2 linked regions of the Lepisosteus oculatus genome follow. The protein of the gene in region 2 purifies or fractionates together with the protein of the main gene of each other region. This does not show direct contact. Links are inferred from orthologs where the notes say so. Each region holds a gene or a part of one and is shown on either strand. Other genes may lie near its edges.

The links. The genes of interacting proteins can lie anywhere in the genome.
Region 1: the proteins of sf3a3 (region 2) and snrpa fractionate together in Homo sapiens (co-fractionation; 4 studies listed by BioGRID and IntAct, with this or other methods). This does not show direct contact. The link is inferred for Lepisosteus oculatus from reciprocal best matches to the Homo sapiens genes SF3A3 and SNRPA.

The regions. Positions count from the first base shown.
Region 1 is NC_090698.1:2,558,775-2,566,559, reverse strand, and holds the start of snrpa (U1 small nuclear ribonucleoprotein A), read right to left. Parts: upstream 3,017-7,785; 5' UTR 2,907-3,016; intron 1,564-2,906; 5' UTR 1,550-1,563; coding exon 1,477-1,549; intron 874-1,476; coding exon 701-873; intron 1-700. Other genes in the region: actmap (actin maturation protease), read left to right, coding at 4,741-4,913, 5,539-5,607, 5,915-6,039, 6,468-6,597, 6,842-6,912, 7,479-7,785. UniProt on the Homo sapiens protein: Component of the spliceosomal U1 snRNP, which is essential for recognition of the pre-mRNA 5' splice-site and the subsequent assembly of the spliceosome. U1 snRNP is the first snRNP to interact with pre-mRNA.
Region 2 is NC_090706.1:5,553,467-5,560,792, reverse strand, and holds the start of sf3a3 (splicing factor 3A subunit 3), read right to left. Parts: upstream 3,019-7,326; 5' UTR 2,873-3,018; coding exon 2,777-2,872; intron 1,933-2,776; coding exon 1,885-1,932; intron 1,506-1,884; coding exon 1,453-1,505; intron 1,085-1,452; coding exon 979-1,084; intron 838-978; coding exon 765-837; intron 427-764; coding exon 335-426; intron 1-334. Other genes in the region: centrosome-associated protein 350, read left to right, coding at 4,888-4,962, 5,824-5,917, 6,674-6,852. UniProt on the Homo sapiens protein: Component of the 17S U2 SnRNP complex of the spliceosome, a large ribonucleoprotein complex that removes introns from transcribed pre-mRNAs.

The DNA of each region.
Region 1 (7,785 bases), on a different chromosome or scaffold from region 2:
ATATGGACTCACACTGTAAACTCAAGAGTCTTACTGACCCTGACGCACTGTGCGATTTGTTAAAAACGATAACAGAATTAACAGACAACTGCTTCAGCTTGCTAATCAAAAGATGAGACTGCAGGTTAACAAATGCAGAGCTGAAGTCAACAAACAGCTGTCGGGCAAAGGGATCGGGGGTCCTCTAGGTGTTTAAAACAATGTGTAATGCTGTTAATTTCATCAGCACTGCTCCATCAGCATTTATATACAAACCGCTCCCACTGAGTGTTCACATCTGAGCAGAGCACAGATACCGTCATTCTTTCAAACCAATTTATTACGATGGAGGTCAGTGCAACAGATGAACAACATCACATCCATCCATTTTCTAAACCACTTTATCCGAGACAGGATCTCAGGGAAACTGGAACCCACACCCGCAAACAACAGGCGCAAGGAGGGCTACACCCTGGGCAGGACGAAAATCATGCGAGAGGAAACAGTGCCGTGCCTGCCTAGTTTTACTCTGGTGCTTTTTTAACACCTGGGTCGTGCACTCCCGACAAATTCCTGCTTTCATCTGAGAACTTTTACAGTGAAAACCACAACTCCCTAATAAGGACCACAACTCCCTAATAAGGACCACAACCCCCCCACCACATGCGCAGCACAAGAAAAGCCACGCTTGCAAGCGAGCGCCGCGGACAGCGGGCCCTACCATGGGCTTGTCGTAGAAGGGGAAGCCCTGCATGGAGCGCAGGGCGTTGGAGGCGCTGTTGACTTCTTTGAAGATGACGAAGGCCTGGCCCCTCATCCTCAGCGAGCGCGACACCAGGATGTCCAGGATCTGGCCGAACTGCGAGAAGATGGCGTACAGGGACTTCTTCAGCTCTGCAAGAAAAGCAAGCCGCCTGAGAAAACCAGGCAGGCCAAGACCTCCCCTCCACACACTAGCGCCCGAGTGATGATCTTTACATCAGCTCCTGTTAATCACTGGAAACTCCTTGCATTCAGAAAAAAAAAACACATGAAAGATCACAAATGGGGGGTTACAAGACACAGCCCATTTAGTAGTCAGTAGCTAACTGATGACAGGACCTCATCTGGCGGTTTCCTGAGAATCCAGGGTATCATCAAACCACATGGCTGGGTAGCCTGTTACACACTCCCACCCCCCTGTTTGTAAAGGACAAAGCCATGATAAATCACAGGGAATTATTTTACTGTTACACACAAGAGCTGGTGCAACACTGGCCTCCCTCAGGCCCATCTGCGCCAGACATCACCCAGAGGCCCACTATCCAGCAGACCCAACCTCCCGTCACACGTCAACACTGCTGCAATCACACACGTCCCAGTCAGAAACACAACATCGACGCGGTTCTGATCCGGGGGCCATCCGCCCTGCTTGAACAAACGGGGCAGACGGGTGGAGAGCCCTCCTCACACGTCACCTCTCCCCTGCGACACGAGGGGTCTGCTGGGGGCACCTACCATCCTTCTTGATCTTCTCGTTGAGGTTGTTGATGTAGATGGTGTGGTTCGGGCGAAGCTCCTGCATAGCCATGGCCGCTGAGGACACTGGGAAAGAAAGAGCACAGCTCAGAACCCGGTCCCTTCTGCTACACAGCTGCACGAAACCAGAATCGTCACTTTTTGGATGAACAAGACGATTTCTGTGTACTATGTAATAATGAGAAGGAATCTTCGTCACATTTGTTTGTTAACTGCATATATACAAAACTGTTTTGGACAGATCTGCAAAATGTTATTGCTCAACATGTAAAGGCAAATGTTAAATCGAAAGATTTTGATATTATTTTATATTTCGTTAGAACTGGTTTGGAAAAAAGGATATGTTTTTATTATTAATGTTAATTATTTGGCAAAATATTTTATCCACACATGTAAATGCTCTAATACTGTTCCCTCTATTCATGCTTTTAAACTTGAATTCCTTTTTTATTTAAATCCTGTTAGAAATAAACTTACAAGAAAGACATACAATGGAAATATCTAATTTTTAGTGTTTACAATTGTGAATTCCTCTCGCTTTGAAGTGCGTATTTCTGTATATATTTCATTTATTCTGTCTCCTTTTTTTTTGTATTTCTGGTGTTCAAATAAAAACTTATTTAAAAACAAAAAAGCTGCACGAAACCAGGAGCTCAAGGAGGAACGGACTCCCTCCGATCCGGGCCAGATCTCCCCACGTCCCCCAGTCGCCCTAAACATGAACCGCTCTCACACAAACCCCCTCAAAGGGACAGCCTACTGGGACACTAAGAAATATGGGTTTTATTTTTTTTACCCTCGCCTCCATCTTCTGGCAAATTCAACTGCTCTCGATACCAAGGAGCAAAGATCGGGCATCGTTAACACGGGCTCAGAACCGAGCCCCCCCCGGGTCAACGGGTTTTAGCGGAGGGAAAGTCGCCCGACTCCCCCCCTCTCTTTCGGAACACGAAGGACACGGTTCAGGCTGTCCCGCTTCCAGATCATGAGCCCGGGGGTTTCACTCGGTGGATCACACCCCCAGCCCGGTTATTCCGGCAGTGAGGTATCCAAACAACAGGACCGCCAGCGCCCACCAGAACCGCCTCAATACACGCGCAAAAATTCAAATTTTACTGCGATTTTTTTTCATTATTTCGCAAAAAATCCCCTCAAAACGGCCGAACGCCTTTGGAGCTCTGGCGACGATTACGAAGTTAATAGTTTTGTACAAACAACCGCGAATCAGATCCGCCCAGCGAATGAACGGTTTCGGGATTACGCCCGAGTCGGGCTCCTTTATTTAATTAAATCACCGCCACGCTTCATAAAAACAAAAATACTCCCTGTTGTTCATCGCACGATCACCAAACTGACTAAAGAATATAAAATAATTACACGATGGCTCGTTTACAAAAGGATTTACTTACGGATTGTTTAAAATCGGCTCCCGGTTGCGGCCTACTCCCTCGACTCGCCTGGACTTCCTTGCGCTCGGGCGACCATGGAGACTAACTGCTAGCAGCTGCCCTGTAATTTGCCAGCTCCCTGCCAATCACTCCATAAACACCGCCTACCTGTTAACGTTCCTTAACGCGATTGGAGGCGAAAGCTAGAGCAGCTCTCGATTGGACACATGTACAGTATATCCCACCCACCCGGTCTCTGATTCTAGTTCTGATTGGACAATCTGTCCGACATGCTTCTTACACGCGCTTACGATGCCATTTTGGCGCTAAGAAGGAGTTGGTTTTGCCTTTCTTTTTAATCGCTGGGTAGAGCCAAAATGACGAATGATTATCTGCAGTTTCACAGAGGGCTTGATTCGCCTTGACTTGACGGTGTGTTACGCCGGGTGTCACAGTAAAAATATTCCCGACTTGGACCCGACGATTTCCATGGGTAAGTATTTGATAGCTCGTTAAGCCTAGAATTGATTAGACAGTAAATACAGTTCTGGCCGGTTTCTGCGTGTGTGAAGGAATGCATTTGATAAAAATGTTTCCAAGATAGCTGTAGTTGCGCGTTGATTTACCTTGGTAATTATAAAAGACGACGCATCCCGCGAAGTTTTTTTTTAAATAAAATTGCAAATACTTTTATGATTGGCCAGAAATAGCCAGTTTCACGAGTTCCACTGACGTTTAAAGGAAGGTGTGCTGATCGTGGCAGGTTTTTTTCATATACATTTTTGCAAATTCTGACTTAAACCTTTTTAATTATACAATGATTGTAAAACTCACCGTATTGCACACATCAAAATGGAAAACAATAGTTTTTTTTAATTGTTTTGTTTAAACCAGCTAAAAAGTGCAGCAATACAAAAGTTCCAACTTCATTTAACTAGCCAGTGATGGTACATTTGTTTATTGTCTATTTTTAATCCCTGCCCAAATCGGGGAGCCCCTCTGTCCCTGACGCGCTGCACGCGAGCTGCGTCCGGGCACGTGCTCCCTGGGACTGCACGAATAAACTTCTTCGCTTGCGAGTCTGTGAAGAATTTTATTTCCGCTCCGTATGTTTCATCCCAGCCGCTGGCTAGGGCTAGTGGTGGTCTTTTATAAGATTATTAAAGTGACCGTTCAATATGAGAAAAGGGTGACTGAAGTTGGCTTTAAGGTAAGGGTGCTGTACCTTAAACTTGATGAGGGTCAGAACCCTGGAGTCCTTTACAGAAGCACAGGGCACAAGGCGGGGCCACACCGTGAACAGGATGGGATAATTATCATTGTCGTTAATGACACTTATACTGCACTTTCCACCCCAGAGGAACATTTAGGTGCACTCACCTGCAGGACAGACAGTTGCCTCACTATTCACAGATGAGGCGGAGGAGAGAGAAACTGCTGAGAGGACATTAGGAGGAACTGCAGGGAGGCCAGGCTGGAGAGCAGCCCTGCGGACAGTGTCCTCTCTCTACTGACCGATCAGGCAGGACCTCAGGTGGACACGAGCACCTCTTCCCAAACAGGGTCCCCAGCTTTCATACTGGGGCACTGCCTTGGAGACACCTGTCCAGAGGGAATATCGCCACCTACTGGTCCACCAACACCACTGACAGCAGCAGCCTGGCTTCCCTTAGACGTCTCCCACCCCAATACTAGCCAGGCCAGCCCTTGCTCGCCTCGAGCCTGTATCTGGGGCCCCGCACTGCTCGTTCGCGTTTCGCGGCTGCAGACGGGCAGACATTTTGTGTATTTGCGTCGGCGTCCTTCACCGGTCCGGTCGCTCTTCACCACAGACCCCTGAAGGGAAATCACGGCCATGAGCACCCCGACTCTCGTGGCTCCGCCGCCCCCCCCTGCTCCCCCGCCGCCCCCCCCGGCCCCCGCCTGCCCAGGGAAGAAGAAGCTGTACCAGGCCATCGCCGCAGGAAAGGCCCCGGTCTCGGGAGACTACGAGGAGGCCCGGCTGCTTCTCCGGCAGAGACAGGACAGGTAGGAAGGGAGCAGTGCTGCCCGAATGACTGTGGCCAAACCCAGAGGCCCGAACTCACAACCCATTTTCTCAAACTGCGCGATTTCAAAGGATGAGAATTCGGAGGAGACTGAGACCTGTACAGATCTGAGCAAAACAGGAGTATGCGAAAGCCATCCCGTATTTCTGAGCTTGCTAGAGACACATGGGTATTGATAATGTAATAATAATAATATTTCTTCATTAGCCCTATATAGTTTCTTGCATTAGGAATTCATCTTTTCGCAGACCCCAGCTTGCTCTCCATGAGACACACAGACAGGGAGAGAAGCTGGGGGTCAGAGCGCAGGGTCAGCCATTGTACAGCGCTCCTGGAGCAGCTGGGGTGAAAGGCCTTGCTCAGGGGCCCAGCAGAGTAGGTTTCCTCTGTTGGCCACGGGATTTGAACCGGCAACCTTCCAGTCACAGGCGCAGATCCTGAGCCACAGAGCCACCGCTCCGCCCTAAACTTTAAATATTAAAGATAAAATAAATATTGGCCTGCAGCATTCCCTTCTCTTTCAGATGCAATTTCACTTGCGCTGGAGAATGTATTTTTTTTTACTGGATGTGCGGATTAGAAACGAGGATGTGTTCCTTCTGCAGTTTCCGGAGAGACCTGCAGTGGGTGCTGTTCAATAAGTATGTGCCATCGCTGATCCAGGATGGGCCACAGTGAGTATTCCTCGCCCCCGGCCTGGGTGGACATTTAGACATGAGTGTCTGGTCAGGGAGGTTTGGGTACGTTAAATATGCTGAATTATTTTGAGTTAGAAGAAAGAAATATTTAGCACTTGCACCACTCAGATCGTAGTCCGAATACCAGTGTGACAGAGGGGGGCGCTGTGCTGGTTGGCCGACTGCGATACTTTGCAGTCTGCGCTGGAGCAGAAGCAGTGTGTTAGTGACGAGGTGAGGTTTTGGGGGCGAACGTGCATTGGGGTGTCTCTTTCCGGGGTGACAGTGGGGGTTTGCCGCACAGGTGTGGGCTGGTGGCTCTGTGGATGGCCGGGCACCTCCTGCAGGGGCCCACACCCCTGCCTCTGGAGCAGATCGTGGCCCGAGCCCTGGGGAGAGGGTACACCGCCCAGGGAGAGATGTTCTCAGGTGAGCCGCCCCCTCGACTGACCCACAGTGTCCGTTCTCCCATTTCCTACCGTCCACTACTCTCGCAGCTGGACCGAAGGCTGTGAAAATGAGCAACTCTGATAGCGGAGGTGCGGTCCAACGGGGACACAACACTGTGCACGACACTGAGCAGACTCCCAACATGCGCGTCTGGTCTCGTGACCTTGTGTGATCTCCGAGGGGGGGCAGGTGCCCCCACAGACCGTGAAGATGCAAACGGAAGTGCCGTTGGGCACCAGGTGTCCAAAACGAAGACAACACATTTTTACAGTTTCAAATCGGGCAGTTAGAAAAACAGCTCAGAGCTGCTCCGTGGGTAAGGCTGTAGGGTCTTGTTCCCAGGGTACCTCCCTGGGCCCTCGGTGCCGCTCCTGTCACCCCCTGTCCTCTCCTCTCCCTCCCCCCAGCCCAGGCCATGGCCCTGCTGGCGGAGGAGCTGTACGGCGGAGCTGCGGAGCTGCTGAGCGGAGGCCTGAGGGGAGAGAATGAGATGCGCGTCATAGGGCACCTCGCCGCCGGCCAGCCCCTCCTCGTCCCGTATCCTTCGCTGGCAAGAGCCCCCCTCTGGGCACGACCACTGCCGCTGACGGCGCCCCGTAGCCCAACCGCATGTGGCCAAAGTGTGGGCACCTTGTAATGTCAGTCACCCCAGCCCAGTCATCGATCGGTGATCCCCTTTACACGTTGCCACAAAGATTCGACAGTAGTCAGGACGTAACTGACCCAGTGACCCAGCTCTGCAGCACCGCCTGAAGGATTCCTTGACTCCCACGTCTGGAAGCTACGATGAGGATTTCAACCACGAGCCGTGCCTGCGGAACGGGCACCGGGCGCACTGGGCCGTGGTCTCAGGTGAGAGAGCAGCCGCCGCGGGGCAGTGCGCCAGCCCCGAGCCCCCCCCGAAACCCCAGGAGTTCGCAGGCATTCTTGGGGTATTTAAATCAACGCTGGCTCCTTATAAATGTTAAAAATCGGACCCGTTAAAGTTGAGCTCGTTCTGAGGTGTAATGAGATGGAATAGAACCCCAGGCTCTGCAGTCCCCCAAGACTGGAGCTCTCAGGCCACTGCTGCAATCATAACAAGGTCACTCTGCTTTTCCAGCTGGTTCACTAAACCAGGAGTCTTCAGAGGGAACGTTGTTGCCTGTTGTAGAGGGAACGTTGTTGCCTGTTGTAGAGGCAACGAGCAAATCGCTCGTTTCCCAAGACCTGGTTCAGTTTAGCTGCGATAAGTGAAGCATGTGATCTGCTGCTGCAGTGATTCAGAGCTTCAGAGACTGTGTGGAACAAACGGCAGAAGACCCTTCCCTCTAACTGGCCCAGCTAGATGCTCAGTGTGAGCCAAGCGAAAGTGGACCTCGCGGGCAGGTGTACTGGGTAGGGGTAGATGTTGAGGAGGCTGTGGTGTGTGTTGGCAGGGGTCCTGCTGGGAGTGGCGAGAGGTACGGACACCGGGCAGCTCCAGCACGATCCCCAACTGCCCTGGCTGCTCCTGCCCCGGGCTAGTGGCGCCCCCTGGCTCCCCAGGCAGGGCGTGGAGGAGGTGCACCTGCTGGCCAAGCAAGGCAAGAGCCTGCGCTACCAGCTGTGGGCGCTGGAGAGGCTGCGGGACAGCAACGGGCAGCTGTGCCAGCTCGACCCCCAGCGGGCGCAGGACGGCACGCGGTACGTGCTGCCCCCCGGTGGGGTGGGCGCCGGGCTGGCGGGGCAGGTGGTGCTGCTGCA
Region 2 (7,326 bases):
GAGTATATTCCTGAGATTGTTGGAATGCGATATTGAAAGACATTAATCTCAAAATTCTCAAAGGTACCGACAAAGTCAGGACAACAATGTCTTCAGATTTACAATGTACTGCAACCCAGACAATACAAAAGACAACTAAATGAAAATCGATTTAAGACACAAAGCACTTCTTGAAAGTTATCCATGCATAAAGCAGATTCTTGGTAGGAACAATGATCTATTCGTACCCAAATGGACAATCCTGATCAAATACCCATTTTTATTTCCTTATCCAGCAGTTAATGATATCCAAGTGCACAAGTGAAACAAAATAAAGCTAAATCCAAGATCTTACCTCTGCTCCTTTCAGGTTGATGTACTTCAGGTAACAATCATGAAGATCAAGATATCGCCCATATCCTTCCTCATCAGTGAATTCAACTAAATCTAACAATATTTACAAAACATTAAGAAGTGAGTGTCTTACGAACAATAGGTTAGAACACAACTAAAGATATTTGTTACTCAAGATAACATCACCAAATAACTGTTATTCTTAGTCATAATTCTGCCTTCTTCATCAAGTTTACATCTCTGAGATTAACAATGCAGAAATACCACTAGAAAAAAGTCAACAAGGTCACAAAATAAACTAAAGAAAGAGACTAGGAAGAGATCTAAGAAAAGATTTACTGTGAAAGGAGTTAGATAATGCATTCATGTAAAAAGGATTTGCTTTCCTTCCAAATCATAATTGGATTAATCTCAAAAGATTTTCGTCTTACTCTGTGCTTCTTCACTGGGGTTTTCTCTGGCTTTCATTAGCTCTTCAAATTCAACAGACATGGGAACACAGATCTAAATGATCAAAAAACATTAACATGATTAAGAAAGAAGGATAAACAGTTCTGGAACAGAAAAGCATGTTTAATATGAAACGTTAGATCACAATTAAACTGCAATCTCAGGTAAATGCCTTGTTGTTGTGTGTAAGTTCACCTCATTGGGGTGTTTCCTGTGAAATTCCTTTATCTGCTTCAACCGGTTGTAGAATTCAGCAAATTCATTTGGTCCCGAAATAGCACTGAGCTCCTCCTTTCTCATTCTGTGAGGACAGGCATGCAGAAAGAAACATTATATTCAAATAAAAAAAAAAACCCAAATATTTAGAAATGCATTTGTAAATATCTACTAATGTCATGGTTATATAAAGTTAAAATGTTACCTGCTCAATATGTGAAAGCAAGTTAGTTTTAATTCCTTTGTATGACAAATCTACCAACAGGCAACTGAAGAATCTGGTACTCTCTGGTGATTTGTTCAGAGCACAGCAGAACAATTTAGTTTGGCAATCTACTCGTTAACGAAAATCAGATCATCTGAAGTAAGAGTTCATGCAGCATTTTTAATCATTCTGCAATGACGTGTTTATATCAATACCAGCAGAAATAACCGCTGGATCCACAGACTCACCCATCTTTATCTTCATAGGAATCCCGCAGATTTGCACTCACTTCCATGTACCTCTGGAAAAGCAATTAAAATGCGGTTGTATTTTCTAAAACATACTTAACGAGGTACAATCTTATATTTTATTACGTGGAAGTTATTGACTGAAGTGCGGGAAGGGTGACAAGTCAGTCTCACAGAGCTGTACCTAGTCACCATCATCATGACGTAACTCGCTACATATACTCAACTCAAACCCGTCTCCACCTTGCAGCTGCCCCTTGGTCTGAACTGGGTTTAACCAAGCAGGTTAAGCCAAGCTTGTCTCACCAAGCATTCCAAGCATCCAATTCCTGGATGTTATTTAATTACCCATGAAATAAAAAAGGACCACAAATCAAGCAAATATCCGACGTGGCTGTAGGACTTAAGATAGGAAATAAACGCATTACTCACATCCAGCATTGCTCTTGTCCGGTGATCTGAGTTTATCTGGTCCCTTAACTAAACAAGAAAGAGAAAATCAGCTCTGTGACAAATCAGAATGTATAGTTTGCCAAAATCCATACATATACGGCACACATATGAGTGTGACCAACGTCACCGTTGACAAAATCACGGACGGTAATTATGTTGCTTGAAGCAGAAAGTTACCTGTCACTGTATCCTCCAAAGTACAACTAGAATTTGTAATAATACTAAGAACTTTTAATTACACCTCCAAATAAGACTATAATTTAAATAAAGAAATAGGTGAAAGGGCAAGTTAAAAGGCACCAGCTACTTTATTTCTGCATCCCACTTCCGATTGCTAATTTTTCACTAGAATACAAAGCGTGAATATAACTCATGTGAAGCAAAATCAGCTCATCTATTCAAGTTCACAAGCAGCTCCAAATCTCGGTGAAGGAAAATCAAAAACTGCAAGCAGATCGTTTGCTTCATATGGTCAAAAATAAAATGTTTAAAAAACGTATTCACACGCGTAGAAGAGACCCAATACCTTAAAAACAAGGAAAGCGGTTACATTTTTTACATTCAACCAGGTAATTAGTTAAAGTATGCGGTTGTGAATAAAAACACTGAAAACAACTGTGCACCACAACTTGAAAACAGCCTCTGAAATCTCTTAAAGCACCTAGTATTTATTTATGCAGTCTAAAACCAAGTATATTATTTGAACGTAAAACATTTTGAAACAACGAAAGAGTTCTGCAACATTAAAATAAACAACACAGAACCGACCTACTGATTTCTTTTTTTCTAAAAAAAGGTTTGCCCTAATTTGCCGGGATCTGCGGGTCCACAAACACGGGCCTAACTCAAAGGCGGGTGCTGCGCAAGTTACCGTAGTTTTTTTGTGTAGCATTTCTTTTGTCTTGGCATCCATGAGCCTTTCTTTTTCCTCATGGTAGCGCCGCTGCTGCTCCAAAATGGTCTCCATGTTTTAATGAAACAAGAAACAAATACAAAAGACAAGTTGTAGCCTTTCCCGCTTCACTCCCGTACAGTCACAACACACAGACGGAGGCGAATGCAACACGCACCACATCACAGACTACCGGAAAGCATCTCCCTAAAGTGTCCGGTGTCAAACTGAGAAACAACAAACGCAGTCGAAAGATTCCGGGACGTCATGTCCATTTTTGTGTTGGTCAAGTCGTAACTTCTCAAAATCATTACCGCTATTTTAAAAGTTAATACAGGAAAAAAATAATTCATGAATTCAATTTAGATATTCAAACCAGCACTTAATACTTTATATTTTACTCATCCGAAACACTGTCAATATCAAATAAACACATCGCCCGGTGGTGAGGAGGAAGTGCACCTCGGCGTTGAGGCTACCGCAAAGCAGGCTGGGAATTGTAGGCCGGGGGAGTCCGAGGGTCCGTAACCGTAAGCAGCAGCTGACCCTACTCATGTAAATATACCTGTGTTAGTTTAAGTGTTCCCTGAAGTTTAGTGCCCTATAAGTTAGTGTGTAGAGTCTGTTAAAGAGTTACCACCATAAACCCGAGTACATGTTCCCTTGGTCCCGTAATGTGTGCGTAAATCCCGTGGTCTGTTTACGTAAAGGAGAGTAAAAATTGGTGTTAGTGAGTTTAGTCCGTCTCCGATTAATTTCGTCCTGCACGAACCCGTAAGCGTTACAATACCAAATCATTTCGGTTCTCAGTAATAGTTGGTTACGTTGATTAGTGAGCAACTGTGGTTTTTAAGTTCTGGACGAGCATGACATTTAAATATTATGCGCCACGGAAGTTCCTCACAGTAGAGACCAAGAGTTACAGTGCTATCTTTTTGCTTCTTTGTGAAATATAACTGTACCCTTGGGTGTCGTATAGATGAGAAAGGTGGAAGCAAGCAGAATGTATAATTATTATTGCTTTATTACTGTTAGTCAACTAATAACAACTCAAACCTTTGCCCTTTTAAAACCTGGCAATACAGTATGTTCGTATGCAACAGTTTTATATGCATCTAAATAACACTGTAAACAGTGAGGTTTTGATTTTGTATAAAATCTTGTATATTATCTGAAAATCACTGGGGGTGATTTCTGGGACTAGTCCTGTGTTCCAAGAATAACAAATACCTTATTTTATGTTTTGTCTAGAAAAACTAGAACTGGCATTTCTTTTCAAACATAACCAAAAGAGGAACGATTTAAACCATGCTAACTAGGGCAGAGTGGCAAATTCACTTTTGTATGAGTTCCACTGGATGTCCAGCACCAATGGCTAAGAGGATTAGGTTAGATTTATTAACTGGATTGGTTCTCACCTGTCAACAAACCCTCATAGCAACAGCAGGGAATTTATACACAGGGCGATAGCCAAGGGAACACGCCTGGGCTGTAACTACATTCTGACCTAGAAAAGGCTTCCACACCACATGGCAGCAATTGGATCTCTCTAGAAAAGGCTTTAAGGATTCCCAAGACACAGAACTAAAAGGTAGCATTAGCTGCAATATGTACTAGGCTATGCTGATTTCTGATATTATTTAGCAGAACTGACAGCAGGGCTAAAATAGTTGTACTATATGTGTTCTGCTACTCTGTCCTTCAATCATGAGCCCTCAGTGGCTGCTGCTGGCAGCATATGCTGGTCATATGTAAATGTATAGAAATCAATTAGATATGTTCATTTTCCTTGAGAGCTAAAATGCTCATTGAGAAACTGTGTTTCATATGTCCCCTCGCAGATTCTAACTAAACCACTGCAACATGGCTGAAGCAAAGCCTCTATTGGGTAAAATAAATAATGTTTTCAAGCGTTGACTTTTTAAAGTTGTTGCTAAAAAATAAATGGTAATTACATGCAGGCTAAAAGCTTATAGTGTCTGACTTAACCCACATTTCTGCACCACTGGATGAAGCTGTTTGTTGTTGTATCCCTTTTCTTTATAGCTCCACTAATGGGTATATAGTTCACAGATCTAGCTGGCTTCAATATGGTCTTCTGTGTGTTCTGGTCTATGTTAGATTGGACATTTAGAGGACTGATATGTTTCTGGAGATTTATGTGGGTAAGTAAAAAAACTTTCAGGCTCTACACTATAAAGTAGCAAAATAAAAGCATACGTGAAGATAGTAAAACCTATGTATTTATTTAATTGCCTGTTTGCATTTAACAAGATACAGGTGTGTTGATGGGGATTTTATTTAAGAATAAAGACAGATATTAAGCAAAGCTATATACAGTATGGTAGTTATGTAGGATGAGAGCTATTAGTCTGTAGCTGACAGGACTGCATGATGTAATTATAGCCAAAAGCCTATGTTTTATTGCTGTGCACTTCCCAGTAACACTATTATTACATTTTTTAAAATAACATGCAGTGCTAAATGATATCTAGAAAGGAATGACAAAACCATAGTAATTTAAACAAACGTTGTGGTTTCACATTCACATCGTTGGGCAAGCAAACAAATAATCTGGAATTCAGAGCTCACTGATGAGCTTTACTGTTATACAGTATGTGAAAAGTAAACATAGTAGAACTTGCAGATTCATGCATTTCTATATAAATTTTAACATAAATGAATATGCAAGTCTTGCCAACCTCCTATCATTTAAGACTGAAAAATAAAAACTTCAATAACGAATTCTTGATGTAGTTTTAATTTCGTTGGAATTTTTTAGACTTCAATTGCTTAAAATGTAACCATTTAAAAGGACTAAAGGTTTTATTTTAGAGTTTTCGATGTACTATATTTGTAAAATGTGTTCCATCTCTTTTGTACCAAGTGTAGCACGATCACTCTTATTTAAATATTTTAACGGAATAGGCTAATGTTTTCTTGGGAACTCTTTGAAGGGATAACTAGGCGTTTCTGTTGTTTCCATACTGTGGCCAAGTTTTTCACTTTTCTGTCTTTCATTCCAGGTGACCCCATTCCAAGCAATCACGTCTTCTTATCTCAGTAAAAAGCGAAAGATTGTAGATTTTACAGTTCACAGCCCCAAGCTTGAAAAAACAGGTTTGTGGTTCATCATTTTTTTTTCCTGATGAGAAGATAAAAAGTTTTTAATTAAAGTAATATTTCAGGTTAATACGTTGTGCAAGTCTTTTATTATTACATTACGCCACGAACACCCTCAATAGTGGTGCCAGAAATGAAACATTTTAATTTGAGGCTGTGTTGATGTTTATTTTGCTCAGATTATTCTACTGGATGTACCTTACAGCAGAAGTTCCATGTTTTTTGTAGTATGTAGTCTAGAATAATACTATAAAATACAATACGGTGAAATTTTAAATCGCGAAATAAAAATGTTTTTATCTCTCGAGTGTAATCTTGACGTAGGATGTTATGCACGCATACTTCCAGCAGAGGGAGCGCATAACATGTCAGAAAACAGTTTTCTGATGTTTCAAGATGCTTCAAAGCGCAATATTTCAATCTATCCTTTCAGAAACAAATCTTACCTTTACACCACCACCTTTGCTTGTGATTTGAAAGGGTGCTCACCATGAACTGGAGCTCTGTAAAATGGAGATTAATTTGTCTGAGATGACTAATCTTGATTTTAAACTTGAATGAGTAGTGTTTCAGAGTGCTGCATTCTTTACAAAACCCAAAATTGTAGGAAACATCAGTGCCTGTAAAACAACAGAGGCCCTTCAGTGCAAAAAAACTGAAATACCTATTGGAGGTTGTGGGATGTCTGCTAATAACACATTTCTCTGTGCCAAGTGCACTTATACCATTTTTTCTATTGAACATTCCTTCTAGATACTGAAGTCTCAGAAGAGACGTCAAACCTTCATGACTGCAGTAATTTGGTTCGCAAGAGATTATCCAAAGCTGAGAGTGAAATTCAGCTATTGAAATCACAGATTTCAAAGGAAAAAGCTGTTTGGGAAAAGAGGTTTCTGGAGCTGCAGAGAAAACAGCTGGAACTGAGAGATCAGGTATATCCTTCTCCACAGGTATCTGAATATGCATCCATAAAGACTGTTGCAAGGTTCCTGACAGGTTCACAAGCAAGCATGCATTCTCAGTCTCTTTAAGTTAAAACAACTATATATCTAGGAGAAGGGTTACTCTTCCCCTTGACTCTTATACTATTGATGATTTAAAGAGACTAAAAACCTTAATGAATTCTAGACCCAAAGACCTAGAGTTTAGGAACACCTTCTATGATGGATTAAGTACTTTCGTTTCCTTCTAGATTTTCTTGTCCTGTGTAAATAAATGTGGAAAATATTTCTATGCAGTTCTTCTGTAAGGTAGAATGAGGCATTATTTGTCAAAATGATCATACAAGATTGGATTTATTGGAAAATCGGAGATGAATTCCCTCACAGGGTCCATTTTTCTTATATGAATTTCTCATATGACAACTTTTGAACACTCTTTGCTGTAGTTGTTAGTTGTGAGTGTTA